Arabidopsis thaliana: one gene and its partner. The protein of the gene in region 1 interacts with the protein of each later gene in a pairwise test. Each region holds a gene or a part of one and is shown in the gene's direction. Other genes may lie near its edges.

Evidence for each region.
Region 2: the proteins of bbx23 (region 1) and GATA10 interact in binary tests that used the Arabidopsis thaliana proteins (3 or more experiments, as listed by UniProt).

The regions. Positions count from the first base shown.
Region 1 is NC_003075.7:6,361,309-6,376,385, reverse strand, and holds bbx23 (B-box zinc finger family protein), read left to right. Parts: upstream 1-6,435; 5' UTR 6,436-6,859; coding exon 6,860-7,060; intron 7,061-7,131; coding exon 7,132-7,419; 3' UTR 7,420-7,557; downstream 7,558-15,077. Other genes in the region: AT4G10280 (RmlC-like cupins superfamily protein), read left to right, coding at 390-595, 950-1,166; AT4G10270 (Wound-responsive family protein), read right to left, coding at 1,309-1,581; AT4G10265 (Wound-responsive family protein), read left to right, coding at 2,909-3,160; AT4G10260 (pfkB-like carbohydrate kinase family protein), read left to right, coding at 3,616-3,792, 3,867-4,277, 4,352-4,486, 4,565-4,681, 4,766-4,900; ATHSP22.0 (HSP20-like chaperones superfamily protein), read right to left, coding at 5,262-5,849; AT4G10230 (no-apical-meristem-associated carboxy-terminal domain protein), read right to left, coding at 9,201-9,929, 10,033-10,125; AT4G10220 (NEP-interacting protein, putative (DUF239)), read right to left, coding at 11,307-11,663, 11,996-12,118, 12,233-12,286, 12,394-12,546, 13,033-13,263, 13,753-13,845, 14,006-14,197. UniProt on the Arabidopsis thaliana protein: Probable transcription factor that may be involved in seedling photomorphogenesis.
Region 2 is NC_003070.9:2,477,696-2,493,697, reverse strand, and holds GATA10 (GATA transcription factor 10), read left to right. Parts: upstream 1-7,971; 5' UTR 7,972-8,186; coding exon of another isoform or gene 8,187-8,354; 5' UTR 8,355-8,811; exon of another isoform or gene 8,812-9,130; 5' UTR 9,131-9,133; coding exon 9,134-9,394; intron 9,395-9,572; coding exon 9,573-10,238; 3' UTR 10,239-10,458; downstream 10,459-16,002. Other genes in the region: TPST (tyrosylprotein sulfotransferase), read left to right, coding at 957-1,011, 1,108-1,279, 1,365-1,436, 1,730-2,015, 2,124-2,264, 2,344-2,448, 2,541-2,685, 3,272-3,321 and 4 more; GATA11 (GATA transcription factor 11), read left to right, coding at 6,296-6,562, 6,852-7,496; AT1G08005 (serine/threonine-protein phosphatase 6 regulatory subunit), read right to left, coding at 8,187-8,354; AT1G07990 (SIT4 phosphatase-associated family protein), read right to left, coding at 10,800-11,487, 11,656-11,726, 11,873-11,902, 11,986-12,118, 12,401-12,483, 12,656-12,778, 12,939-13,101, 13,189-13,292 and 10 more. UniProt on the Arabidopsis thaliana protein: Transcriptional activator that specifically binds 5'-GATA-3' or 5'-GAT-3' motifs within gene promoters. May be involved in the regulation of some light-responsive genes.

The DNA.
Region 1 (15,077 bases):
TGTTTTAGTTATAACATTAATATAAAATTATATAATTTTAATATTAAACTAAAACTATAAAATTTAATAGTATCATTATATATAAATAAAATATTTGTTCCGTGATGTATTACGGGTTAAATCCTTAGTGGTGATTAAATTCTAAAAAAAAATTCAGTTACCGCCCCAAAAATAATTTTTAGGTTAATCTGCTAATTAGTTGCGCTAATTTAAGATTTGCACCAATTGCAGTTTTTTTTCTCAAAACAGTAAAAAAAAACTTCTTTGCAGCTCTCAGATTTGGTAAAGTTACCAACTTCAAAGAACTCGAAGAGACCGTCTCTATAGAAAAAGCTGAAATCTTTGGCTTCGTTTTCATCAATTCGAAACTCAAAGTTGTGAAAATCCAAATGGGTAATCATTTTTTAACGTTATCTCTGCTTCTCGTAACAGTCTGCGTTTGCGTTTCTTTCATCACCACGAAGCTAAACCCTAAAGAAGCAATCGTATCTGTCTCTTCCGATTCTGAGATTCCTACTGAAATTCATGGTGTCAAGATCTTGCGTCAAGCTTCAGATACCAAACTTGCTCAATTAGGCGTTGCCTCTTGGCCCAAGTCAGTAACTTTCTCATATCTCTCTGCTTCTTTGCTTTAATGGCGCAGATACAGAACTAGGGCTTAGGGTTTTCCTCAATGGCTTTACTTGTTAGTGTTGATCCAACCTGAGGATTTGTATCATCAATTTTACAGAATCTCACCACTGTTAGCTCAGGACATTTCCTGCTGCAAGAATCTGTTTACATATACTTGTGTCTGAGACTCTGAAACAGACAAGTTCACTTGTGTCTGAATCATGTAATTTTTGTGTTAGTCTCTCTACAAATGATTGATTCTTAAATTAGACGAATAAACCAGAGAAAAATGTTATACATTGCATTTATGGACTGAGTTGTGATGTACATTGAGTAGGTGGGAAGGTGCTCCAAGCAAGTTTCCATGGGAGTTTAAGAAGACAGAGACAATATATTTCATGGAAGGGAAAGTGAAAGTGAATGTAGACGGATACGACGAAGAAGAAGAAACCTTTGAGATAGGGAAAGGAGATGTTGTTGTTTTCCCTAAAGATATGAAAGTTGTTTGGGAGATAACTGAAGCTGTGAAGAAGCAATATAGCTTAGAGGAGTAGTGACTTTGTAGAGAGAATTTGAGTCACATTGATGTTTGTTTGTTGTACTTGGTTACTACTTTGAACTAATAATATCTATGGAATTGCAATGTTGATTAGGATTCTGATTATAGAAGTAAGAAAACTATATATTATATACAATTTAATTAGGACCCCAACAGCTCAAGTACATGACTGTTCTAAGAGATTCTTCAGCCTTCTTAGCCTTCTCGCTCTCACCAGAGGAGGTAACGGCTGCGGAGACAGAAGACGAAGAGAACCTTTTCCCTTGAGAAACAGATCTAACGTTGTTCCGGAGATGTTGATTAACCGACCGGAGTATGTAGTTCCACCGACAAAGACCTAGTTGGTCTTTTAATGCCTCTACGGCTCCGATGCTCACTGCCACTGTCCATGCTTTGCTTGTAGAACTCATCTTTCTTCAGAGAATTAAACTTCTTTGTGTTTTGTGTTTTGTGTATTGAGAATTGTTTTTGTTGATGATGTTTAGAAAGTGAAGTGAATTGGTGTGTTTATGTAAGAGAGAAGAAGCCAACAATATTGCCGTGTAGTTGGAGTTAAAACTAGAAGCTGTGGCCGTTGGTTTTGGTTGTTTACTACTGTCTGGATAGTAAAATGACGTTGTTAGCCTTTTAAGAACGAATTGGATAAGGGGTAATATTGGGATTCTGGTAGTTCCTGGATTAACGAGTGCCGCTATCATGTGCACCTGGTTTTGAGATTGTTCACTTGTTTGGGTTTCGTGTTGTGTCCAAGTTTTGAAATATAGTAAATGTTTTCTTTATCTCCTTGTAGAATAATGCATGTTGGAGATGAATAATAATATAATATCAAAAATCATTTGCCGACCAAAAAAGTAAAAAATATATTAAACACAAAATGTAAATAAATAAATAAAAATTCAATCAAAAGAAAAATGGTTTTGCGATGACTTACTTTTTTTTTTTTTCTTTCTTTCATACAGAAGATGAATACCATTTAACATGAGTATTCAAAAAATCAAAAGTAAAACTAGTATCATCAAATATTTCCGCTAAATTAGTAAACATATTTCCGCTCATAACAATTAGAATGAGAATTTTAGAATGTTGGTTCTGTGACAACCACACAAATTTCCGAGTTTAGTAGATTTGGAATTGGTGTTTTTCTTTGCGATTTACTGGTATGCGCTCTTGAGCAATCGTATACAATTAGAGTAGTAATATTATTTTACTTTTCTGTAAATTGCTTTAATCCGTTCTCAGTTCTCTTTATAACTTCTGTCAAAAATTTAAAATGATATAAAATTTAACATTTTACTAAAAAAAAGAGATTGTAAAAAAGAATATAGAGATTTGTTTTATTTTATCCTTTAATCAGTCATTTTATAAATAATAAATTTCGTTTCAAGTAGTACATTAATTTTTAAAATTTTTATAGATTTAATATACAGATCATTCTAGTATACACAAAAATTAGGATCTATATTATTATTTAAAAAAAAAAAAAGCAGCTCAAGTCGATGAACTAAACATGGGCAAAATCGTCATTGAACTAAACATTCATAGTTTCAGCAGAAACCAAGAAAACCAGCAGCTACAAAACCCACTTTTTGTCTGCACTTTCAAACTCCAAAGGCACGGCACTTTTTGTCTGCTTTCTCTTCTTTTATAAACAAAACCCACTTTGATTCACTTCTCATTCATCATCAACAAACACAAAATCGAAACCAAATCACTTAAACAAGAAAGAAACAAAGAGAAATGAGCTCTGCAAGCAAAACGTGGATGGTTGCTGCAAGCATCGGAGCCGTTGAGGCATTGAAAGACCAACTAGGCGTGTGTCGTTGGAACTACGTGATCCGATCTGCGAATCAGTATCTACGCAACAACTTAAGATCCGTGTCGCAAGCTAAGAAGCTCTCTTCCTCATCAATCGATTATACCAACAAGACCAAGCAAGCTGAAGAATCGCTGAGGACAGTCATGTACTTGAGCTGTTGGGGTCCTAGTTAATGGACAATGGAGGGATTTGAAAACCCTAATCATAGAGTTTTGATAATGTCTCTTTTAGGGTTTAAAACCCTTAAAAAGGTTAAAAATGTATAGAATTTGCTCTGTAAAGTGACTCTTGAGTCTTGAACTAATGATTAATCTCTTTTCATAAGATTTGTTCAAATCGGATTTTTCAGTTACTGCAACTAAGTAAGAAAGACTTAAACTTTGAATATAAATACAGAGAATTTGGTACGTTGTGTGTGACAAAGATTTATTTCTGTTGATATAATTAGGACCCTAAATTGGAGGTTTGTTACAGTCAAAAGTTTGTACTGAGTTTTTACTACAAGTTAGGGATTTTGTTAAATGCTTATCCCATTTTTCATGCAGTTCTGTTGCTAATTCTCCAGCTTAATAAAGAGAGGTTAATTTTGTTTGGTTTATGTGTGTGAACATTTCTTGTCTGAGTAAAGATGGCTAATACTCCATTGATAGTTTCCTTTGGTGAAATGCTTATCGACTTTGTCCCTGACACTTCTGGTGTTTCTTTAGCTGAGTCCACCGGTTTTCTCAAAGCCCCTGGTGGTGCTCCTGCTAATGTTGCTTGTGCCATCACCAAACTCGGTGGCAAATCAGCTTTCATCGGCAAGGTTTGTATAATTTATGTTAGAATCTATTAACTGATGGTGAAAAGTGATATGTGATTGTGTAATGTCTTTTATAGTTTGGTGATGATGAGTTTGGACACATGTTGGTTAACATATTGAAGAAGAACGGTGTGAACAGTGAAGGTGTTTGCTTTGATACCAATGCAAGAACCGCGTTGGCCTTTGTGACTTTGAAGAAAGATGGTGAGAGAGAGTTTATGTTTTACAGGAACCCTAGTGCGGACATGCTCTTGAAAGAATCTGAACTCAACAAGGATCTTATCAAGAAAGCTAAGATTTTCCACTATGGTTCCATTAGCTTGATCTCTGAGCCATGTAGAACAGCTCACATGGCTGCGATGAAAACCGCTAAAGATGCGGGAGTCTTACTCTCTTATGACCCGAACGTTCGGTTGCCTCTTTGGCCTTCTACTGAAGCTGCTATAGAAGGCATCAAAAGTATTTGGAATGAGGCTGATATTATCAAGGTATGTTTGTTTTTGTTGTAACAACCGGACTCGTGTTTTCGATGATCTTAGTGTTCGAGTTTCGTGATGTGTAGGTAAGCGATGATGAGGTAACGTTTCTAACGCGTGGAGATGCGGAGAAGGATGATGTTGTTTTGTCTCTTATGCATGATAAGCTTAAGCTGCTTATTGTTACTGATGGAGAGAAAGGTTGCAGATACTACACAAAGGTAAGGGATCAAATTCGACATGATTGTGTGTGTTTTGGAGTTATCTAAACAAAGTTTTTCGACTGTCGAAAAGCGCAGAAATTCAAAGGGAGAGTGCCTGGATACGCTGTGAAAGCAGTTGACACAACTGGAGCTGGTGATTCATTTGTTGGTGCATTTCTTGTCTCATTGGGAAAAGATGGCTCCATACTCGATGTACGTATAACCAAAGACGTTTTCAGTTCATAGATAAGGCATATGAAATTGAGTTTTGGTGATTGAGTAATGTGAATGTTGCAGGATGAAGGGAAGCTGAAGGAAGCACTTGCCTTTGCAAATGCATGTGGAGCAGTGTGTACTACTCAGAAAGGAGCTATTCCTGCACTTCCCACTCCAGCTGATGCTCAAAAGCTCATGAAATCTAAGTCTAAATAGTTTCAATCTTGTTCTGTTCTGTTTCTGTTTCTTCACTCTTGTCAATTTCCTTGGTTTTCACAGAGTATTTTCTCTGTTATCTGAATAAATCTAGTTTCAAGTTTCTGCCAAAATTGATTCCAAACTAATTCATATACCTTGATTTTTAATTACATGACTAATGTTCTATAACAAATAATCAAGAGGCTCTATAATATAAAGAAATGAACATTTTATTGCATATAGAGAAGGTTACAGAGATTTTGGTAGATAGGTTACAAAACATGACACTCCATTTAGCTTACACAATATGAAACTCAAAACTCTTGGATTTATAATAACTCTCTTCAGACTCAGAAAGTAATATATAGTTTCTTCAATATCAGAGTTCTTTGGATTCAGAAGAGCTGATTTTTGCAGTTTGGTCTTCTTCAGCTGCAATGTTAACAACTCTTGGACCCTTAACTTTTTCAGGAGATAGTTTCGTGAGGTTAATAGTGAGCACACCATTCTCAAGCTTGGCCTTGACTGATTCCATATCTACATTATCAGGTAGCTTGAACTGTCTCCAGAATTTTCCATATGATCTCTCCACTCTATGCCATTGATCTCCTTTCTTCTCTTCTTCTCTTTTCCTCTCTCCACTGACTCGTAAAACTCCGTTCTCCTCCACTTCTATCTTTACTTCATCCTTCTTCAAACCGGGGATATCGAGCATTATCTCATGCCCTTCTGCTGTTTCTTTCCAGTCTACTCTTGCTGGAGACAGAGCCACGCTTGTGTCCCTCTCGAGTCCTAATGGGATTCTCTCCAAGATCTTGAATGGATCAGGGAACCGGTCTAGCCAGAGATCGGATAGCAAGCTGCCTGGAGTAGTTTCAAGTGCAGAAGACAAAGACCCTTCACTTGTTTTGATGTTTCCAAGCAACAAAGCTCCTATGAAGAAGATGCTTAGCAAGTGCTTCATCATGGTTAGTGATTTGGATTTATTGTAGAAGGTTGAAACCAAAATTTTAGGCTTTTAACTTCACTTTCTTATTTTGTTTTCTATGATGGTTAGTCTCAATTCTCTGGTGTATATATAATACACATTGTATGAAGAATGAAGAAGTTTCTTGAAATATCTTTCTTTTGGTAGAGTTTTGCAGAGAGAGATATTGAGATTGTTCTAGCTTTTTTGGCTGTGACTTGTACTAATTATGTTACTACACGTTGGATAAGTTTGTTGTGCCTTTAAGGGTCTTCTCTCATGTTCCAGAGACTTCATGTAAAAACTATGGATTGGATTGGGCCTTAATAGTTATTTATATCCAGGCCTATTTTTATTGGCCCATTATGATATTTGGGACCAATTCTGTTTGTGATGAGTCTTAGAATTTTGGCTGCTGCATGGGAAAGGAATGGGAGAGAGTTTGAATGATGCCATGCTCCATTTCAGTTTCTGACAACATTTTAGAGTTTTTGACCTCTATTGCCCTATGGCTAGTTACTTTTAATTCCACAGTCTTTATGCATATTGTGGTCCTGCCTTTACTTTTGGCTTGCCATGCTTGTGTCTTAAGAGAAGCTTGTCGCTATGTTTGTCAATTTATGTTTTCAAAAGAAAGTAAAACTATACAAGCTTCTGAAAAAGATCTTGTCATGGAGATTTTGGTAGGAGAACATTTATTGGTTTAAATGCCACCCAAAGTTGGTCTAATAACCCCATATTGAGATAAAAATTTCGTCTTCGACATATCGTTGTATATCTATATATAGTTCTCTCTTTTCATGAATAAAGATCATCAATTCCTCTTGGTATCAGAGCCAGGTTTTGATATAACTTATGATCCCACCACACATGTGAACTTATTTAAGCTTGTTCTTTCTTGTTTCCTATATTTAGATTCACTCCTTGTCCTAATTCTCATAAATGTCAAAGAACATTTGTTCTGTCTGTGTATTGGCAATTTACATTGATTTGGATTATAAAGTTGAAGGATGAAGATACAATGTGAAGTGTGTGAAAAGGCTGAAGCAGAAGTACTTTGTTGTTCAGATGAAGCTGTACTATGCAAGCCATGTGACATTAAGGTTCATGAAGCTAATAAACTTTTCCAAAGACATCACCGAGTCGCCTTACAAAAAGATGCAGCCTCAGCCACCACAGCTTCTGGAGCTCCTCTATGTGATATCTGCCAGGTTCCAATCTCTTTTCTCTTTAAACACTCGCTGAGCTCTTTAACCGATGTCTCATATATATGTATATGCAGGAGAGAAAAGGGTACTTCTTCTGCTTAGAGGATAGAGCAATGCTGTGCAATGATTGTGATGAAGCCATTCACACTTGCAATTCTCACCAAAGATTCTTACTTTCTGGAGTACAAGTTTCTGATCAGTCTTTGACTGAAAACTCCGAATGCAGCACTAGTTTTAGCTCTGAAACTTACCAGATTCAGTCAAAAGTGTCTCTGAATAGTCAGTACTCTAGTGAGGAAACTGAAGCTGGAAACTCAGGTGAGATAGTACACAAGAATCCTTCTGTAATCTTAAGTCCTTAGAGATATACACACAACATCATGGTTCCGGAGCCATTGATGTTTAATAATAAAAGTTTCTGTAATATATTATCTTACACAGAAGAAAAACTTGTTGAGGAATCAAATCTTTTTGTTACAACAAATATTAAAACCATGACTTAACAACTAAAGTCAGTGGTCATGGCATCGACACAACCAAAGCTAAGTTGTTCCAATAGTTTCAAGAATTGTAGAAATGTGAATACTATTTGAATCGATCTTAGATATATAAACAAAATTTAAAAAATGAATAAATAATTATTGATTAAATATAATTATTTATCTCAAATATCAAGACTTGGATAGAAAATGCATAACTTAATGAGACAGTCATAGATTACTACTATTAGCTCTTGTACTTTCTTTTTGCCTCACTACAAGAACTATAGACCTTGTTGGATTTGAACCAACGTTGGAACATAACTGATTAAGAAGTGACCATTGAGATTCTTCCTCATCATGATCCAATTGTATACATTTATCTTCTCCCACAACGTGTAAAAAAACGTTGGAGACCCCATGCTTACCACGACACACCAAAACTTTGTTCTCCTGGTCGACCAAAAATTTATCCCACTAGCAAACCAAAAAGGCTTGTAGAAACTTTCTCCATGACGCGGCTCCGGTACCGTCAATCTTAGTTGCAATCCCTACATGATACATCTATATCGCCTACTCGCATGCCACGAGTAGCTAACATACAACATTTTTGATCTTCTCTAGTCACTGATAAAGTGATAGGATGATGATAAAAAGGATGATCACCCGGGAGAGACACACTTGTAAATCTCTCTATTGAAAAATCCAAACAAAGTAAGAATTCCCCACTTTCTATGTCTTGCGTGCAAGCAAGCCAGTAAGTATTTCCATTTACAGACATGACATGCTCTTTTAACCGTGGTCCGTGGTATGAACCAGTCGCTATCTTCACCAACAAATCTCCACGAATTAGGGGTAAAGTCATATATTTCATACCTAAACAAGACTATTGATTACTGAACAAGTTCTCTATAGTGTACAATAAACCTGGAAAAAAAGTTTGATTCATAATGGGATGTTAGACTCTTGTAGTCTTGTTAATATTCCAAACCTAGTGGTATAAGATTTTTAATCAGAAAGAACATCAAATTCTTGAAAAATGATCTTTACAATGCTAGTCAAGGAAAACTAAATAGATGACTGCTCCCTGATTCTTGATCAAACAAAACTTTCACTTTCAATCATTGACAGTACGTAACTTAATATTTTCTGGCATGAGTTCATTTATATCTAAGGCCAAGTCCAACGCCACGGGAAAACGTTAAAATAACGTGGGCATGTTTACTTTTTCACTCCAATCAGACGGTATAATTTGCACTATAATAGTGTGATTCTCTTTTTTTGTACAGTGTAACACTATATTTGATGCACTACTGTAGCCACGGCAAATATTAAAATAATAATTTTTTCTTTTGTGTTAACATTATTATATATTAAAATAGCTTATTTAGTTATAATAGATTATATATGATTTGTAATGAGATTTAAGTAATCTAACTAAGGGTTGTAACTAAAAAATAATTTATAAGTACTATTTTTGTAATCTTTAATTTAATAAAATGATGGATTAGTAGAAAATATTAAAACTAATACCGAAGTTGATTGAAAATACAATAAAATAAATTATACATTTATAACATAATTAAAAAATTAAAACCACACAAACATAAAAACTAAATGCAACAAGATATGTTTTAAAAACATAACAAAAGCTTCACAAATGGTTAAGGAAAATTATTTCCGGTTCCGCTAAGATAATTATAATATTGGGTAAAATCTTCTTGGTTATTTGGTGATCTTTTGTCTTCACCTTGATCCGGTTCTCCTTGAACTTGTTTTCCATGAAATAGACTTTCTTGATAATGAGATGCTCGATATTGAGATCCATGATATTGGGAGCCTTCACCATCTTCTTCATGTTGGTTTGTTTGTGCTCTTTTTTCCAAAATTCTTTTTCTCTCATTTTCAACATATGCACGAGAGGATGGATCACTTATAGAATTCAAATCTGCAAATAATATTTTATTCTCTTCTTTCATTCTAGCTACCTCGATCTTCTGCCTTTGAATTTCATTTCTTTCAGAAGTACCTTTAGTAATAGCTTTGATAAGTTTATCATTTTGCTCCAAAAGTTGTTTAAACTGTTCTTCAGATTGTTGTTTTCGCTTTGCTTTTTTCAAACCCATAGGCCTTGAAGATAAACTAAAATTGGCATCTTCACTATCCATATTTAGATCAATTGAATTCATACCAGGGGAAGGTGATGACTCGGTATTGATTGAAAATGATGAAGATGACGTAACATCACGACCTTCTCCTTGGAATGCAGGGGGTGTCTTCATGTTATCATTAGCAAATTTCTCAATACCTTTAAGAATAGGCCATACATGATCAAATTTGAATCCTCTCTTGTATTTTTCATATTGAGTTAATAACATCTTCGCTTGGTTTAACTGATTACATATTTACAAGAAACAAATAAAAATAAGTTAGCATGTACAAATAATTTAATAAAGATAAGTTAGTAAACACAAGAATTTATAATTGAGTACTTACAATGTCTTCTTCAGAAGCACCGCTAGGATTTTTATTCTCAATTTGGTTAACGCATCCTCTCAGCTTTGAGACTGCAGAAAGAATTGACGTCATTCGAGTTTGTAAAGATCTTTTTGGTCTTCGTTGAAGACGAAAAGGATCGGATTTATGATACTCAGCTTCAACTCTTGTCCATAGTTGATCTCCTGATTGGTTTATTCCTATTATTGGATTTTGGGAAACATCGAGATACACATGACACAATTGTATATCTTCTTGAATAGAATATGACAAAAATTGTAATATTATGTTATATTAATTAATGAAGAATAAAATAATATGTTGTGTTTAATTAAATAATATATTGTGTTTCTTTATTTTGTATTAAATTTGTTTAATGTAATAATTTGTTGTCTAACATTTGTTTCAATATTATTAAATATTTTTAAAGTATTCATATTTTAGGTTAATAAAATAATAATAGAGAATAGTATTTTTAGTGTGACTTTTGGTGTTGTGGTTGGAGATGAAAAAGAATTTAGTGTGAAAATCACACCAAATATAGTGTTATTCTAACACCATTTTAGTGTTGTGGTTGGAGATGCCCTTAGGGCTTATGATCTCTCCTTGCATGAAGCCTCTGCAGCGACCTCCTCCTTCATAGCACTTAACTACAACTGCATAGTAACAAGTAACAACAAAACCACACGTTTACAAAAAAAAAAAAAAAACCACATAAAATTATATTTCTCGAAAATATCGAAATTACACAATTTCATCCAGCACAAAGATCGTAATATTTCATTGCTTTTATTAGTCATTTTTTCTTACAAATCGATCCAATAAAATAATCCTTATTATTACCACACACAAGAATCAAATGCATGTAGACTATTGAGCCTAATCATATGATTAAGCGTAAGTTCTAAAATATTTCTAAAGTACTTAAGAGTGTTAACACCAATTAATGTTTTTCTAGAGAACTATATCTATATAAAAAAAAAAGATTTGCATATGATTAAAATTTAGCTTTTTTTTGTCTGAATAAATTTTTTTAATTTTTAGTGGAATTTTCTATCGATTATGAGATAAAAAATAGTATTATTTTCTAAATTTGGAACATAAAAATAGTTCTTCTTTATTCCCCTTTCTAACAAAGTCGAACAAGTTGAATAAAAAGATATAAAAATGTTCTTTAAATTTCTCTTAAGTTTTTTTTTCTTCGTACTAAGAAACTTATTCTCATGATTTTTCTGATATTACAATTTTAGAATAATGGTAAGCACTATCAATGTTTATTTACACCCAGGGCCTCCATATATAATAAGATGACCGACATGGCTCCAAAACGTCTCCGTTGCATCTCTCACTTTATAACAACTGTCTGAATACCTCTCTGTGTTTTTCACTGTTTTGTCAGTATTATAATTTTCGTCCACAGTCGTAATTAAACGGACATATGAGTCTACTTTGGGGCTCCCCTTCGGATAATGACTATTCCCCATTGGAGGATTTGGAGGCGAAGGGCTATAGACTTCACCACCCCATTCGACCATTGTACCAGAACTTTCTTTGAATCTGCTTGATGGCCAAAACCCAACTTCTTCCCAAGATGTACCCATCAACAACCACCAATTCCCGTTGATTTTGTCCTGTACTCAAACTTTAAATATCAACAAAAATAAAAACTAGGAGAACCACGAGAACCCATACATGATCTCATTTTTGTTAAACTATAATTGACAAAATCTTCACTGGATTTAATTTATGTATTCTTTTAAAAATCTAATATGAATAAATGAAAGTTAGTTATATATGTTGGATGGGATACAAATACCCTAACACTAAATTTTCTTTACCCATATCCATATTCATATTTGCATGCATCTACATATTGATATTACTAGACATATCATATACTCAAACGTTCTTGAATACCCGAAATATACAAAGTTATGGGTATACTAGTTGGAAAAGAACTGACCTTCATTATGGCGAAGTCAATACTTTTTTGCTCGGCAAGTAGACCAGGAGTTAAGTCTTGACGAACTAGTATCATTCCGGATCCGTCAGGACAGAAGAGATTATAACACGCATTTCCTCCCGACTGAATTCAACCATATAATATGCGACCATAAGTCATTGGTTTATCAATTATGCATACATCGTGTATATATATGGTATAATTAAATTATATAAAAACAAGAACTAGCCCACTTACTTTTGTAAATACGAATATCCGAGAGTTGAAGTCATGGTATAATTGTGGGTGTACCTAAAATGAATAGAAAATATGATTCATATACATTAATAATAGAAAAAAGATTTACTATAATACATCAAGTATAAAAAAATAGTGGATCTAAATTAATATTGACTTACGATCCAACCAACTTGGATGAATTCATTTCCAATTTGAAAATGCATCCGAGAAGCGCTGAATTGCATAGGTCCAACTGAAGGAGTGAATGTATTAATATTCATAGATGCACCATTGTAACTCCTAGTTCCTTTAGTAGTTCGCACCACAGCAAACTGAATAGTGAATACAATGGTTGAGAAAACTAACATTCTGATATGGCTAAATTGTAATGCTGAAAAATTAGAATCAATATCTTATAAATTGGTATGAGTAATTTGAGTTAATAGAAACCAATATTTTTCATGTATCGAAATATAACTGTATGAGTTAATAGATAATATTAAATTATGAATACAATATACAATTACTTATGTTTCCTAGTATATCATCCACCATATATATACTCGCCATGAAATATTAATCAAAAATTTCACGTGTTTGTAATAAAGCTATGTATTATTAACATAAAAAAACTACTTAAATATTTTTGTATTCATCAAATTAAAAAGAATATTTTAATCATTGTTTAAATTAATAATTATGTGCTAACATAGTCATCTATAATTTCAGCTATTCCACCAATCTTGTTATTGCGAAGTTCAGTAATATATGTTTAACATTTCTTACTCGTAAGATAACAATTTAAAGAAAGCACTTACATGATGATCGTCAATAGAAGATGCAGGTTTATAGGTTTTGCTCCACGAACTTTGCGGATTAGAATTATCGCTATCGAAGGATTTCATTCTCAAAAGAGCGTCTTTAGTGACTCGAGGTATAGGAACGGTACCAATGGGACAACCTACGCCATTCTCCCAAAAGTGGCCAAATGTTGTGTTTCTATGTGTCTTTCTTTTCATTTTTGATCCTTCAGAGTATGACATACGCATCTCCACATCAAAATCCAATATAAATTATTAATTAGCCATTCCAAAATTAAATTTTATTAAAGTACTCTTCTTAAATTAAACTATAAAAAGGTAAATTAAAACTCAAAAGTGATTTTTTTAAAAAATATGGCTCTTTCTAATCAAAATAGTGTATATGATTATCTATACTTCATATTAAATATAAAAAGAAAATTTGGTCATTATATGTTTATCCAATATATATATATATATATATATATATATATACATTTGGATTTTATCTTTATTTTTAACAATTATGGGAAACCAAACTAATTAAATCCTAAACTTAAATTCTAATCTCCAATCCAGTGGACACAAAAAAAAATTACTTTTCTATTAATAATTAATAAAACAAGAAAATAATCCTATCTTAATTGTCACAATATTGCCAATACTTAATTACCATCTATTCTAAATAGAGTTGAAATCTTCTAAATATCAAGAAAAAATATATTACCAATGCAATACCTTATGGTGAAATGTGTGGTTCTTCATGGATGAGTGGTCAAGTCCTGGTTGTTTGTAGAAATCCACACACCCATATCGTTCACCATTAATAGTCTGTGAATTCATATATAAGAAAATATATTATTTTTTGCATGATTTCATAAATTTCATCGTCTTTCTATTATACAAATCCTAGAATACTTAGGATAGGTAATTTAATGTTATATATATATAAACACATTCAATTATTCTATAACATGGTGAGAGGATAAACCTTTACGATTTTAAATGCAGGTTTGTTGATAAGCTTAAGTTTGTGCTCTATTTCAAGATCTTCATTACTTTTTAATGTCTTTGCTTCTTTTATAACACCATGGCAATGACTCATTAGAAGGCTCCCACAAATAATATAGCATGCCAAAATCATGCACGTCATTGGAAGTGCACACCCCAATTTCATTTTCATTAACCTGTGAACTAGAGAAATTTGATAATTAGTTTTTCTTCTATATATACAGTTATTATTGAGATATAGTAATAGGAGAAAGATTTGAAGAAGTCATTTGGGATAATCACCTTCTCACAAGAAATGTAATATTTCTGAATGATTCACTAGAGTAGAATATACACCTAGCTAAGGGTTAGAAAAAATAATTAATACATATACGTTTCCTTAAATTCCTTCAAACCTAAATATAGTATATATATCTTTGAACCATACAGAAGTCAAACAAAATTTCTTCTTAAACTAAGTAATTACTAATTTCCATGAATGCTTTTAAGAGATTTATTGTTATTTTTGACCATGCACAAGTCAAAGATGACATAATTATTTGTGGACCATACAAGTCAAACATAATTTCTTCTTAAATTTACATCGATATATTGATGACATTTATTCATATCTTTAATGCTAACTTCTTAACACAAGCTTGGCATAATATTTGTAACTTTTCCTCTAAAAAAAATCTGAAAATAAGAAATTTATTTTAAGTATTTGTAATACATTTCTATGTGTAAATTGAAGATAGTATTTTTTTCTCTTGCATTTATAATCCTATTGTATAAATTATATTTATAAATAAATTAAAATAAGAAAAATGTACTATAAATAAAATGATGTGACATAATCAATGTTTGTATAAAACTAATTGTGTGATTATTCAGAATGACAAATGAAAATAATAAATAAAAATAATTATTCTTAGATTTTCCTTAAAATCATAAGTATTTTGTTTCTTTAATTTCTTTAATTTTTGATTTTAATTGAGATTTATTTTTAAATATAGTATTAGGGTGGGCGTGCAGTTTTTCAGTTTAGTTTCAGTTTGTTTTTTTTGGTTTTA
Region 2 (16,002 bases), on another chromosome or scaffold:
TCATAAAAATCTGTGAACGAATGATTGAACTGAAGCAATGACTAAGAACAAATGAGTCATAACTCATAACCATGATCCTGTAACTATAAGTTTCCTCCTTGAGGTCTTTCACACACAACGAGGGATGGATGTACATGTCACCAGAAGCAACAAGAAGATCAAGACGCAACTAAAAGGCCAAAAGAAGTGAAGAACAAAATATTACACAAAGAGGGGATGTATAGTTGTATACCCACGGTTTACCGATTTCGGTTTTCGTTCCGATAACCGGTTATGTATTTCATTTTGTATTATATAGAAGGCATTGGTCAAACCGCACTCGAACCAGAAAGGAAAGTGCATTCATACTATTACTGACTAGTGGAAAAAAAAAAAAAAAAAAAGCATTGGTCTCTCTCAAAAAAGATTAATTCGTTTGGCTAAATCAAATTTGACACTAGTGTCTTCCTCAGTGCGTGTTTATAATTTTTCTGGGTGGCGAGAAACCAAGAGAAAATCTCGTGACCCTGTTCTCTCGGGAGCGCACACAATCTCTCTTCTTCTTCGTCTTCCTCCTCCAATCGATGTAATCACACACACACACAAAAACACATCTTTTCCTTGTTTTCGTAGGACCTAGTAGATAGCGAGTTTTGCCCCCAAAACAGCGATCGAGGGAATTTATGAGCACGAGATCTCGATTCCCCATACACGTAGGCCTCTGCTTCTCTCTCTTGTTCCTTTGTTCCTTTCTTTATTCGATTTTCTGGGTCCCTTTTGCCCTGTTTTTCCTCTGTCTCCTTCCCCCAAAATCTTTCGGTTTTGTTTTTATACAACTTGCAACCGTTAATGTTCATCCTCACCGATTGATCACCTACTCTTTTCCCTTCCTGGGTTTTGTTTCTTTCGAATAAAGATTGATCCTTCTTTCACTTATAATCGTTTTGGTAATCAGTAGGGTTTGGAATCGAGGCACAATGCAAATGAACTCTGTTTGGAAGCTGTCTCTTGGGTTATTACTTCTTAGCTCAGGTATGTATGCAGAATGGTTTTACAAAATTGTTCATTTGATAAAAAAGCTGGACTTGTCTCTGATGTTCTTGGAATAATTGGCAAATTATATCTCAGTTATTGGCTCTTTTGCGGAACTTGATTTTGGCCATTGCGAAACTCTTGTGAAAAAATGGGCTGATTCTTCTTCATCTCGTGAAGAACATGTTAATAAAGACAAACGCTCGCTTAAGGATTTGCTCTTCTTTCTCCACGTTCCGCGAACTGGAGGCAGAACATATTTTCATTGGTGATTTGATTTCCTTTACCAAAAAGTTTTTGAGAGATTCTTTTATGATTGTTGTGTGGTTAAGGCTGTGTTTGTGCTCTTGTAGTTTTTTGAGGAAGTTGTATGATAGCTCTGAGGAATGTCCTCGATCTTACGACAAGCTCCACTTCAATCCAAGGTATCTTAATTTCATCAGTGCTCTCGCTAATTGTACGTCTTTATTTGATGCCAAAGACTCTTTCTTGTGGAAACAATAAGATGGCTTACAGAATGCTGTTTGTACATTCTATTGGTTGTTAAGTTGACTTTAGATAGCTTAGCTAGACATATATAAAGTTAAATATTGTTTCATATGAAAATCAATTTTCCCTAGCCTCCTTTACCTAAAGAAAAACAATGTGAAAAAAGTATTTTGCCTGTGGTGTTACTACCTTCGGACAGTTAAGATCGTGTTGACTCGTAAATTTATAGGAAGGAAAAGTGCAAGTTGTTAGCCACACATGATGATTATAGTTTGATGGCAAAGCTTCCGAGGGAGAGAACTTCGGTGATGACAATAGTTCGGGATCCTATTGCGCGTGTGTTAAGCACTTATGAATTTTCCGTAGAGGTAGCAGCTAGGTTTTTGGTGCATCCCAATTTAACTTCTGCGTCAAGGATGTCTAGCCGCATACGCAAGAGTAATGTAATAAGCACACTAGACATATGGCCATGGAAATACCTAGTTCCATGGATGAGAGAAGACTTGTTTGCTCGGGTATGTCGACCTATCCCATTCGTCTTTTTTGGCTTTTAAGCTAGAACATGATAAGAACACATAAAACTTGGGCTGAAGCTTTTTTTACTCATCCTTGGCTTTTCTTAGCGAGATGCACGAAAATTGAAGGAGGTAGTGATCATTGAGGACGATAACCCGTATGACATGGAGGAGATGCTTATGCCTTTGCACAAATATCTTGATGCGCCTACTGCTCATGACATCATCCACAATGGAGCGACTTTTCAGGTACTTTTTCATGCTATTTGTTTAAGTTTTCAAAGTTATTGATTAGAGATCTCCAGAGCATTTTCATTTCACTTCACAGATTGCAGGATTGACAAATAACTCCCATTTATCAGAAGCACACGAGGTTCGGCATTGTGTGCAGAAATTCAAAAGCCTTGGTGAGTCTGTTCTCCAAGTTGCCAAGGTAGTAACACTTCTTCTTCATCATAGTTCACTGCGTCTTGGTATTGTGCTTTTAAAAGCAGCAGATTCTGTAAGCTTTTTTAAATTTTGCAGAGGAGGCTAGACAGCATGTTGTATGTTGGACTGACAGAGGAGCACAGGGAATCTGCATCACTTTTTGCCAATGTAGTGGGTTCTCAAGTGCTGTCTCAAGTGGTTCCGTCCAATGCAACTGCGAAAATCAAAGCTCTTAAATCAGGTTGGTGTAAGTTTCTTAATACCATCGCTGGGCTATCTAAGGAGAATCTAGCAACTTAGTTGAAGGACATGGTGATCATTTTTTTAGTCACAGTGTACAGTTTTTTCAGAGTACCGCTTTGGAGATGGTATTTACTTTAGTTTTTGGCTTTTGAAAGTCAAAACCCGTCATATTATTCATTAAAATGTTTGACTGATATTTTTCATTCACTTTTTAGGAGTTTGATTTTTAATTACCTAGGGAAGCTACTTATTGTTCTCTGTTATTTGGGGATTATCGTATAAGGTTTGATTGTCTTTCATCATGAAGATTTTTCTGATCTATGTTTCTTGTTGTCACATCATCTTTAAAGGTTCTCTTGCCCTCTTTTGTTTTAGACTTGTGTCTTGTTACTCTGGGTCCCTGGGTTTATTAAAGTTTCTTTGTTGGTTAATCATAGTCTCTTAGAGTAAGTAGAATGATGATATGACAGTTCATGTGCATACAGCCTAGGCTTTCTATTGCTTTTGTTGTATTTAAAGTCAGGATAACAAATGGTTGTACTTGCACTCACCAAATTGTCAACTTTATTTCCTTGATGCTTCAGAAGCAAGTGTCACAATTTCAGAAACCGGGTCAGATAAGAGTAATATTCAGGTAAAGTCCTGCTGCAGAAGGTAATAATTTGTTTGTTCAACTGTCATTTTTGTAATTGTCTTGCTGAAAATGGCTGTGACATTACAGAATGGTACATCTGAAGTTACATTGAATAAGGCAGAAGCTAAGAGTGGGAATGTAAGTAGAATCCCTTTTCCAATTTATTATCAACGCTTGAGACCTTGTGTGACTTTTATATATACACTTCAGATGACGGTAAAAACCCTTATGGAAGTCTATGAAGGCTGCATCACTCATTTACGAAAGTCCCAAGGAACCAGACGGGTCAACTCTCTGAAGAGAATAACTCCAGCAAATTTTACAAGAGGGGTAAAGTGTTTTCGTACATGATCTAAACTTAGTAAAGTTAATGAGAGAAGGCTGGAATAATGAAATCTTTTGACAATGCATCTAACAGACGCGTACAAGAGTTCCTAAAGAGGTCATTCAGCAGATCAAATCGCTTAACAACCTCGATGTGGAGCTCTACAAATATGCAAAAGTAATCTTTGCCAAAGAACATGAATTAGTGTCGAATAAGTTGATCTCAAGTGTAAGAAACTTCTTGTCTTCACATTTCGCCTTTTAGTTTCTGTCTGATATAAGACTAAACTCCATGATTCGTGTGCAGTCTAAGAGAAGCATTGTTGATCTGCCGAGTGAGTTAAAGAGCGTATTGGGAGAAATGGGTGAAGAGAAGCTATGGAAGTTCGTACCAGTGGCATTGATGCTTTTATTGATCGTCCTCTTCTTTCTATTTGTAAACGCTAAAAGGAGAAGAACCTCCAAAGTTAAGATTTGATCATTGTCACTATATTTTGGACCAAATCAGCAATTTGAAGAAGCTTTTGGGGTCCAATTTGTAATATTATTCTCTTTCTTTTTCTACTTTTCGTGGAAAAAGAAAAAGTTTTGGGTGTTGCCTTACCTTACAGGTGAAAAAGGGAAAATCACAAGTAAAAAAAAACTCTCTATCTACTTTATTTTAAAAGGCTAAACAAAACAGGTAAAGTCACAAAATTAGTGCTTCTTTTTTTTTTTTTGTTTAAGTGAGCTTAATCAATAAAGATAAAAGTAATAAGATTTCACAATTTTTTTTTTTTTTTTTTTTTGAGAAAGTACACTACTAACTGGTTTGAATTTGACTGTACCATTTTTCACGCAACAGACTGTGTGCAATTTAAAGTACAGTTCATACAAATCTCTATAAAACAAATTGTACAAAAGCAGTAAATATACCCCCACGTGATATTTGTTTTCTTATCAACGACGCAGTGTAAACAATAATATGTCAAAAATTTTGAAGAAAAAATCATATAAACTATATAAGAAGAAAAAATGAAAAGAAATATGAAGATCGTGTATATTAATTTTTTTTTATATAAAAAATACTAATAATAATAATTGATTGATGGGAGGAAGATAGTAAGTGAAAGGGATGAAACATATCATGTGGGAGATGGAAGCAAAGAGTTAGGCAAGGGACCCACTTTCCCATGAGGAAACGCCATAATCATCTTTATTATTATTATTATTTCGGTTCTCGTCTCTTAATCCTTCGTCGGTGATCTCTCCATTTCACTTTGACTCTCTCTATTATACTAAAGGTTTTTAGTATATTATGTTAAACCCAACTTATTTGTTTGCTACGTAAATTAAATTATACATCAATTCATGATACTATCTATTATTATTGCTAGAGATCGAGATCTATCAACCATCCTTCCCTCAAGGTTATTTTGCCATGTGCTTATCCTATTTTCCTTTTTAGATCTATTCCACGCAATCATTTCTCTATTTAATTCTTTTGACCATCATTAAGTGTTATTACCATCTTTTAATTTCCATGTCGACATACTATTACCATGTTAAAATGGGTAAATTCTTTCTTTTATCCTTTCATTACACCGACATATATTCCTTAAAACCCATTCAGATAAAATATTTGACTGATATTTTACTTACCTTATATATATCAGCTTTAATGATACAATATCTTTATTAATTGCAAGAAGAGGTTTAATGTTACAGTTGTACCCACAAGTTTTAGTGCAACGTTTTCAATTGACTTGGATTAACTTAACAAATACTATTACTACTTCAGTTAGTGTATATATATATTTATTGACATATGTAAAAGAACCAAAATTGAGTTTTTTTTTTCTTTTTGGTAAAACGCGTTGATAGAGAGATTTTTATTTCTCAAAGAAACTGATTAAGATTTTTCTTTAAAGTTAAGAAAAGCAGTTTCCATAATAATAATTTTCATATACAAGTAAGTAAGTAAGTAAGTAATAGTATTACATTATTATCTATTTTAAATGAATGAATCTCTCTCTCAAAGAAACTGACGAGACATTGAAAACTCCCATCTACCTTTTCTCTTTCTCTCTCTCTCCCTCCCAAAGTCGAACCTGCAATCCCTAAATCCCCAATTTGAGACCATCTCCAGTTCGTCATCGTACGACGACTCTCTCTCTCTCTCTCCTCTTCTCTGTATAGTCGAATTATATTACAAGGTTCGTTGCGTCTCTCTCTCCCTCTCTTTCTCTCGTTAGGGTAAAAGCTTTCTCTTTTATTGTGTCTTGTCTTGCATTTTCCTCTGTTACGTTTTGCGTTGTTTTCGAAAAATGTAGGAAATAAATTTGGTTGCTTGCTTTGTTGGTGTGTGAACCGACACTTATCTCTGTGATTTTTTTAATTAAATTCTCAGTGATGTTTGAAGGAATTGTTTCAATCTTCGTTACCTTAAAATGATGTCGTCATTGTTATTGTATTGGGTAAATTTTCTGTTTTGTAATTGTTTTAGCATATGTCTCTGTCTGATTGTGTCAGAGTTTTGAGTGAAACCCCCAAAGTTTTTTTTTTTTTATTTAACTGGACATGAAGCTGTTTTTGAATTCAGCTTTTGGTGAATTTTACGCTGATTTTTGAATGTGTTTTATCTTTTCTTGGGTACAGTTAGATAGATAGCATGAATTGGTTACCTGAAGCTGAAGCTGAGGATGACTTCAAAGGTCTTCTCTCTGGTGATTTCTTTGATGATCTCATCAATCACCTTGACGTCCCTCTTGATGACATTGATACCACCAATGGTGAAGGAGATTGGGTTGACAGGTTTCAAGACCTTGAGCCTCCTCCCATGGATATGTTCCCCACTTTGCCTTCTGACCTCACCTCTTGCGGCTCTGGCATGGCCAAGGCCCCTCGTGTGGATATTCAAAGGAACATTCCTGCTTTGGTGAGTTCTTTGTTTTTTTTATCACTTTTGCATTTTACTTGTTTTGATTTTTACCCAATTTGAGTAAAAAAAGCTTTTCTACCTGAAATTTTCTTGCTTATTTAGTTACTCATATAATTTGAGTGATGTCAATCTTTCACTTTCCGCTGTGTTTATAACCATAGTTAGCAGCATTCATGTAGAGGGTATTCCTAATCCGAGTATAATCTTGTGTCACTTACTTTACTGGTGCATTGATTGTGTTCCTGATTTTGCAATCCATCTGATTTGTTTGGTTTCGTTGGTGCAGAAACAGTCCTATTCTTCTGAAGCCTTGTCCAGCACTCTCCACCAATCTTCAGCTCCTCCTGAAATCAAAGTTTCGAAACTATTTCAGTCTTTAAGTCCAGTGTCAGTTCTCGAGAACAGTTATGGTTCTCTCTCGACCCACAACAATGGATCTCAGAGATTGGCTTTCCCTGTGAAAGGCATGAGAAGCAAGCGCAAACGCCCCACAACACTGAGACTTAGCTACCTTTTCCCCTCTGAACCCCGAAAGCCCGAGAAGTCAACCCCGGGCAAACCTGAATCCGAGTGTTACTTTTCTTCTGAGCAACATGCCAAGAAGAAACGCAAGATCCACCTGACCACCCGCACGGTCTCTTCCACTCTGGAGGCAAGCAACTCGGATGGGATAGTCCGCAAATGCACTCATTGCGAGACAACCAAGACCCCACAGTGGAGGGAAGGACCCAGTGGACCGAAGACCCTCTGCAATGCTTGCGGAGTGAGGTTCAGATCTGGTCGCCTAGTTCCAGAATACCGACCAGCCTCAAGCCCCACCTTCATCCCAGCTGTGCATTCAAACTCACACAGGAAGATCATTGAGATGAGAAGGAAGGACGACGAACAGTTTGATAGCAGCATGATTCGGGCAGTGATATCCAGAGGGTAAAGCAGTTTTTTTTTTAAAGTTTGGTCTCTGATCCGCAGAAATGGGAAGTCAGTGGAGGAAGAAGATGGTATAAAAGTAGGGTTTAGTGACTGTTTTCAAATCTGATGAAGAGAGTTTAGTGGTTTAGTTCAAGTTAGGGATATGAAATATTTTGTTGTTTCATTATGTGTTTTTATCTTTATCTCTTGGCTGACATTTGTGTATCAGAGGAAAACAGGTGAAGCCAAAGTTTGCTCTCTTTTTTTCGCTATTTCAAATCTATTCTTTTTATTCTTCAATCCCATAATCTTCTTCTTTTTTTCATCTGTTTTACTATTTTGCATTAGTTGAAAAATAAACGCCCATCAAATTCAGTCATGGAGGCTGCTTGCTTATGTACGTATATGATTAATGTTCAACAGAAGGAAACTGAAGTGCAAAAGAGTTTCTATGTAGGTTAAAGACGGACACCTTGGTGGTAAGCTAAGTAACAACTTCCTCTAGCTGACAACAACAGAAACTTAATGATAACAGAGAAAGATTAGAAAACAAAAGCTTTTTTCACAGAGACGAGAGACTCACCTACAAGAAATTTCAACTAAAACCAAGTTTTGTTTCATTACGCTCATACAAAATCACACTGTACAAGATGCTGACTCTAAACTCCAACTTCATGATCCACTTTCCAGTAATTGTTATCGTTGAACTCTTTCATTCCTCAGTCTTTAGGTCCTCAGCCATCTCCTTGTTCATCTTCATCGCTTGCTCCATGCCTTTCTCTGTCACTTGTGCTTCCACTCCCACAAATTCCACGTCCTTATCAAAGAAGGATCTTTCTGAACCGTTTGGAATCAAAGATTCGGTTTTGACGTCAGGCATTGGTAATGTCGAGGCTCATTATGTTCTTGGTGTCATCATCATCGATAAAGAACATTGATCTTTTGGTTGGAGACCTTAGCCTCATGACTTGTGAAGATGGATAACAAACCTTAGCCTCATTATGTTCTCTGCTTTAGTGGGTTGTTGGTACCCAAGGTCTAATCTTTTTGGTGGGTTGTGTTTATATACCCCAACCCAAAGGGTCTCTGATTAATAATTTGGAATGACTAATCGCAACTCATGTGTTCATTTCTGTGTATATAAATCCCAAACCAGTTGACCATTAAAAGCAAAAACAAAAATGACGAGACATTGAAAACTCCATCTACCTTTTTCTCCCTCCTCTTCTCTCTCCCATTCCCAAATTCGAACGAACCTGCAATCCCTAAACCCCCAATTTAGACCATCTCCAAATTCGTCGTCCTTTTCTCTGTGTAGTCTAATTATATATTACAAGGTTCTTGCTCTCCTCTCTCTTTCTTTCTTTCTTTACTGGGTTTTATATTTTGTTGCTTTGGTGGTGTGGGAATGAATACTTGCGACCGACACTTGTCTCACTGTTAAAAGAAATTGTTTCAATCTTCGTTACCTTCAAATGTCGTCATTGTTATCTGTTGCGAAATTGCTTTAAGTCTGTGTCATTAGTGAAACCTCGTAATTGAATTTTTTAACTTGTAATTTTTTGGTGGACATGGGAGCTGTTCTTGAACTCCTGCTGCATATGTGTTGAGTTTTAAGCTCATTTTCTAATCGCTTTACCTTTTCTTGGTTTACAGTAGATGAATTGGTTACCTGAAGCTGAAGCTGAGGAGCACTTGAAAGGTATTCTCTCTGGTGATTTCTTTGATGGTCTCACCAATCACCTTGATTGCCCACTTGAAGACATCGATTCCACCAATGGTGAGGGAGATTGGGTCGCCAGGTTTCAAGACCTTGAGCCTCCTCCCTTGGATATGTTCCCTGCTTTGCCTTCTGACCTCACCTCTTGTCCCAAGGGCGCCGCTCGTGTGCGGATTCCCAACAACATGATTCCTGCTTTGGTCAGTTCTTGTTTTCTTATCACTTACTTGATAGAGTTTTACCCTATTAGATAGAGTATATCATCTATTTAAACTGAATTTGTCTTGCTTATTAGCATCATTCATGTAGAGGTGCATTGATTGTGTTCCTGATTCCTGAATTTTAATCCATCTGCTTTCTTTGGTTCTGTGGGTGCAGAAGCAGTCCTGTTCTTCTGAAGCCTTGTCCGGCATTAATAGCACTCCCCACCAATCTTCAGCTCCTCCTGATATCAAAGTTTCATATCTATTTCAGTCTCTAACTCCAGTGTCAGTTCTCGAGAACAGTTATGGTTCTCTCTCCACCCAAAACTCCGGATCTCAGAGATTGGCTTTCCCTGTGAAAGGCATGAGAAGCAAGCGCAGACGCCCCACAACAGTGAGACTTAGCTACCTTTTCCCCTTTGAACCCAGAAAGTCAACTCCGGGTGAATCAGTAACCGAGGGTTACTATTCTTCTGAGCAACATGCCAAGAAGAAGCGCAAGATTCATCTGATCACCCACACCGAGTCTTCCACTTTGGAGTCAAGTAAGTCGGATGGGATAGTCCGGATATGCACTCATTGTGAGACAATCACGACCCCACAGTGGAGGCAAGGACCCAGTGGACCCAAGACCCTCTGCAACGCTTGCGGAGTCCGGTTCAAATCTGGTCGCCTAGTTCCAGAATACCGGCCAGCCTCAAGCCCGACCTTCATCCCATCTGTGCATTCAAACTCACACAGGAAGATCATTGAGATGAGAAAGAAGGACGACGAGTTTGATACCAGCATGATTCGCAGTGATATCCAGAAGGTAAAGCAGGGGAGGAAGAAAATGGTATAAAAGTAGGGGTTAGTGACTGTTTTCAAATCTGATGAAGAGAGTTTAGGGGTTTAGTCAAGTTAGGGATATAACATATTTGTTGTTTCATTATGTGATTTATCTTATCTCTCTCTCATTTTGCGAGCAATATGGTTGCACTGACGTTTGTGTATCAGAGGAAGAGAGGTGAAAGCCAATGTTTGCTTTTTTGCTTCTTTGCTTCAATCCCATAATCTTCTATTTTTCGTCTGTCTTAATATTTTATATTAGTTCAAAAGAAGTGAATAGCTTCAAATTCATTTATTGACTTTGTCACCCTTTAGGTTTACTATATGATTTGATGTTTGTCAAGCGAAACTAAACTCAAAAGAGTCCAAATATACTTTAAAACGGACAACTTCGTGGTAGGCAAAGTAAATAAGCACAGACAACTTCCTCTAGCTGACAACAACAGAAGCCTAATGATAAAAGAGAAAAAGATACATGCCAAAGAGAGAGAGACCCTTGCACCAAATTTTAACTAATAACAAGTTTTGTATCATACTCTCACACAAAATGACACTGTACAAGGTAACGACTTTTTCATTCCAACACTCCAACTTCTTGATCCACTTTCCAGTAGTTGTTATCGTTGAACTCTTTCACTCCTCCTGAACTTTCCTCCGGCTTTGAGTCCTCAGCCATCTCCTTGTTCTTCTTCATCACTCCAGCTTCTCCTACTATCCCTTCTTTCATCGCTTGCTCCATCGCTTTCTCTGCCCCTTCTGGTTCCACTCCCACAAATTCCACGTCCTTCTCAAATAACGATCTTTCTGACCCGTTTGGAATCATGGATTCAGATTTGACCTCAGCCATTGGTATGTCGAGGTTCATTATGTGCTTGCTGTCATCATCATCATCATCATCGATAAATGGGTTCAGACCGGTGCCACTCGCTTGCATATCAGATGGTTCTCCCCACCCGACCCATTCGGGTGGCTGTTCAGCAAAAGCTTCTTCAGCTTTCTGTGAGGTGTTGAAGTCGAAGAAATCCAGTGGACTCTCCATTTGAAAGTTGGTTTCAGTTGTGTTCAACGCGTTGTCTTTTGGGTTTCCAGTTAGATCATCGTCTTCTTCTCCAACCACAACTTCATCATCGTCACTACTGCTAGTGTTGGCATTATAGGTTTTATTCAATTCCACGTCTATCGTGTTCGAACCCGCTGTGTCAGAGGGTGTGCTGCCGAATCTATCGTCTTGGAATGTGAACCAATTCGAATTTGTAAACAAGCTGCGGCAAAATACCAAAAAAGATTCAAGTCATTATTTTGAGAGACGTCATCATTCGTTTTTTGGTCAAGAGAGATGACATAATTCAATCACCAAGATACAGTAACTGTAGTTTAAAGCAAGGACATGAGGACACCAGTATTAACAGATAATAAAAAGATAAACTCACCTTCCTTGGTCATCCCCAAGTCTTAAGGATGAAATTACTACTTCAGCAGATTCATCGTCGAAGTAAACATCCTGTATAGTATATAAACACATTCCAATTTTCAATAGCAAACTCTTATTAGCGTACATCCCCCATACGTATCATAGTGTGATAAAAGATGTTGATAGTTTCCTTGATTTTTCAAAAAAGCGGAGAGAAGAATTTTTGCAAGACTTACATCATCGTCTCTATCAAGGGCATTGTGGTCCTGAGAGAAATACAAAGACGATAAATTCAGTACCCAGGAAATCATTCATAAATTGAAGAAAAAGCACTAGTGTGAGAAGATACCTCTTCATTGTCATCGTTTCCATATATTTTGTATCTAAATGCTTGGCTTAAGTTATTGGCCAGAGCTGCAACATCGTAATCCCTGTCTTCCTCATCGCTATCTCTTGTCCTATCTTGTAGGGTAGTTGGGCGCCTACACGTAACAATTAGTTTAGGAATTTTTATAACCAAAAAGAGTGAAGATAAAATCCAAAACCCGGGACCAGATCATGGTGCATTTACTGAGTGGTCTCGTCATGAGAAGAAATATTATTTGACTATGATACCATCAGTCATCAATGCAGAATTATCTTTGAGGGTTTTGTCCAAGAGGAACAAGGATCACACATGAATTTTTACATCCATAATCAGCATTATGTAGCAGACTGACCAATTAAATGGTTACTAGATGATTTGTGAGTAGAGGTTAACATACCCACATCCCCATCTGTTGACATTTTCAACCGTGTTGCGGTCCTGCAGAACACTACCTTGCCACTCATTCCATTCGCTGTTTTCCTAAAGATTTGGGAATGAACAAAGCACAATCAGCAAACATGGTAGATTCCAACAGAGTGCTAGGACCATTCATCACAAGACTCAACTAATGGTTTTACATTCTTTATGCGTGTGAAGTGACAAAAAAGCGGCAGAAGAAAAACAACACGACACGTATAATTTTTATACCAACCTGAAGGTATGCCTTTATCTGGCCATTGCTGTTACTCAACTGACCAATTTTATTTGATATTCTTGTGATATGCCCGACATACCCGACACGAGGTTTTTTTTTCCCGGAGGCAGCTACAGTGGGCTACCTCGCACAAAAGAAAAAGAAAATGCCAGAGAATATTTGTTTAGCTAATGAACGCTGGAGCAATGAGTCAATGGAGCTAACTTGGAGCTGTATTAAGATGACTCTTTCATATGCTGATGATCAGTTAAACCTTTGTGAACATAGCAAATGGTAATACCTGGCTATCACCTAAGAGGTTTGAGTCCCTGTCCGACAAGAGGAATTTGCCAATCAGATCGCAGTCTCGAAGAATATGGTTAACCATCAAATCGCTCTTGTTTTCCAAACAAGAAAGTATTATACTCTCCACTTGATGATGCAGAGCATTATTGTACGGGTACCTTCATATGTCGAGAGTATTTGATTTTTTAAGATCTCGTAGAAATAGCACACGGTAATCACAAAATTTTAAGTTTAGCAAAACCTACTCGAAAAACAGATCAAGGGTCCTTTTGATTGTTCCTGAACTGACTAATTCCTTTTGTGCAGCTTCACTTCTAGTTTTCAACAAAACTGCAATGAACTCCACAATCTGAAACAAAGAAAATAAGATAAGTGAGTCTAATTAAGTATAGAGACTTTACATACAATATATTAAGAGCACTGTTGGTGTCCTAAAAACGACAATGTCTTCCATAAAATGCTCCATGTTTGGACCTGACCTTTAGACGATGCTTTCCGAGAGGAGGCCTCAGTTCACCATATGTTGTAGGCAATACTGTGCTATCAGATGCTACAGTGAGAAGCATAAGCAAGTCATCTGCAGAAAAAAAAAAAAATATTACTTAAGGTCATTGAATGCATAAAACCTGATTTGAAAAACTTGTATGAGACAGTATCATACATATCCAAGATGTGCTACGTAAGCATTCCAGAATTATGTAAAACCAGTTTCCATTTATCAATATAAACCAAAATAGAAGAGACCAAATAGAGAGCAGGGAAGATCAAACAGAACGTCCAGATAGATGCTAAATACTCTAGGTATCCTCGCAAATGGAAAGTAATATCACATAAGAAAAGGATTGACTATTGTCCAAGTGCACAATAAGATTATGTGCATGCAACAAATAAAAAAGCCAGAAAATTAATAATCTTGATGGTCATGTGACGATGGTGCATCATAGGATCCAACTTACTGAGTTTGGGCAGCATGGCACCAATAGTTTCTGGGGAAACTGGGACAGGAGACTCGAACATATGTTGACCTCTGTAAGAATTGAACATAGAAGATGAAACAGCAGATCTCCTCGGATCCAGAAGAGAGGTGCATACTGAAAGTGAATGAACTAGACCGGATTTTGAATGCGAGTCTTCAAGAGCATGACCAAATATCTTTGCAACGTAGCTGCAAAAACAGGGAAAAAGTTGTGCTGCCATGTGAAACACTTTTGTATCATCTATCAAAGCATTAGGAATCATCATGGAAGAAAGATTACAAACCCAGGGCTAGAGAGCTGCGTAGCTAAAGCTGACGGTGCATTCCGAGAAATTGCACATAATGTTTCTGCTGCATTTGCCTGAACCTCCGGAGGACTCTGATTCAAGTTGTAATGCAAGAAACATATCAGAATGAAGATGATAGAAGAAATTAGTAATATCATCAGATATCCTAGATTTACACCACCTACAAGTATCAAAGAGAAAACCAAGAGCCTCTTGTCTCTGGGATGATTATAGAAAAGCTTAACCACTTACAGATGGTTTAAGTTTGTCCACGATCATTTCAAGTAAATTGCTATCAGCCAACCATTGCATCACATCCAGAAAGTTGGGATAGACTTGGTCATCAGCCCCAACCAAGCGAACCAAAACCTAGAAAAAGTCGCGTAAATATCATAGCAAAAAAGACCTCTGAAACCACACCAAGTTGCACTGAGTCTAAGTCAAACCAATTACCTCCATGATGGATGTTATCCCAATCAAATCAACTAACTGGCAGAAAACATTTTGATGCCCCTGTGATCATCAAAAGTTACTTTGAGAACTGAATACAAAACAAATAACAAAAAAATTCAACTAAATTGTCTGTCACATCAATATAATTGCCAGCAATTGAAGAATAGAGTCATGTCAATCTCATCTACTAACAATTTACTAAATAGACGGACATCTGGCTTGCGAGATTACAATGGAAGGTAATATCAATTCTGAATAGAAGAGTTAACAGAAAATAAGACGTATTCTACAGTACTCCTGGATAATCCTAGAAATCAGTTCAAATAGTTTCCATAATATATTTCTCATATAGTTTACCATCCGTTTAACTATGTGTTATTACTTACTTTTACATAATTCATAAGCGCTGCAGTTTTTCTGATCATAAGGCAAATGACAACCTACACCAAACAGAGAGAAGTAAGAATCACTTCTCGGAGCCTTGAAATGAAGTCATATGTATCGGTACAAACAAAACAAAAGAAAATTACAGGAACTTGGCTAATACGTAAACTTATGTATCGTAAGAGAGAATACCTTGCTGAAATAGCCTGCCAGCAATGCACTATGAGGACGATTTGGTTCCAGAAAGGAAAAAAGCAAGTTCATCAGCTGCAAGATAAAATTATTCGAACAAATGAGAATCTAGGATAACAATAAACATAATCCAGATGCACAGAAAAGTGAAAAGTATGAACTGCTATTTGAGGAAAAGGTAGTAGGATGAATGAAAAATACCTCTTCATCCTCGACCAAAGTTTTTAGAATAACATCAATTTCACATGTAAATATTTCACAAGAGATGAATGGAAACCTAAAAGAGAAGAAACTATTATTAGTTAGAGAGAAAAGAAATCCAGAACCATTCAAAAGAAAAGTGGATAAAAGGCAAAAGGAGAGGATGGTAAGACAAGGTAATTCCAGTTAGAATCAAGGAAGCATATTACTTGAAAGCACGTTTACTATCAGCATCCTGTGGAGGTTCTTCAACAATGTACCGCAATAATTGCTCCACTTGAGCTTTATCCCTTAGACTGCAGACATTAATACCCAATCAATAAAGTCATCCAAGAAAATACGAAGGAAATATGGGACTCCTTAACTAAAACTCCGCAGATAGAGGAGACATAGGATTCAACATACACCATAGGGTTTATCTGGTTCTATGAAACAGATAATGAGGAATATAAGCCAATTATAAATGATTAAAAAAAGCTTACAAGTTAATGAGCCTGCTATTCAAAGCCTTGCATTCTTGAATAATCTCTTCCTCATCAAGAAGCTCTTCCAACGTGAAATTTTCT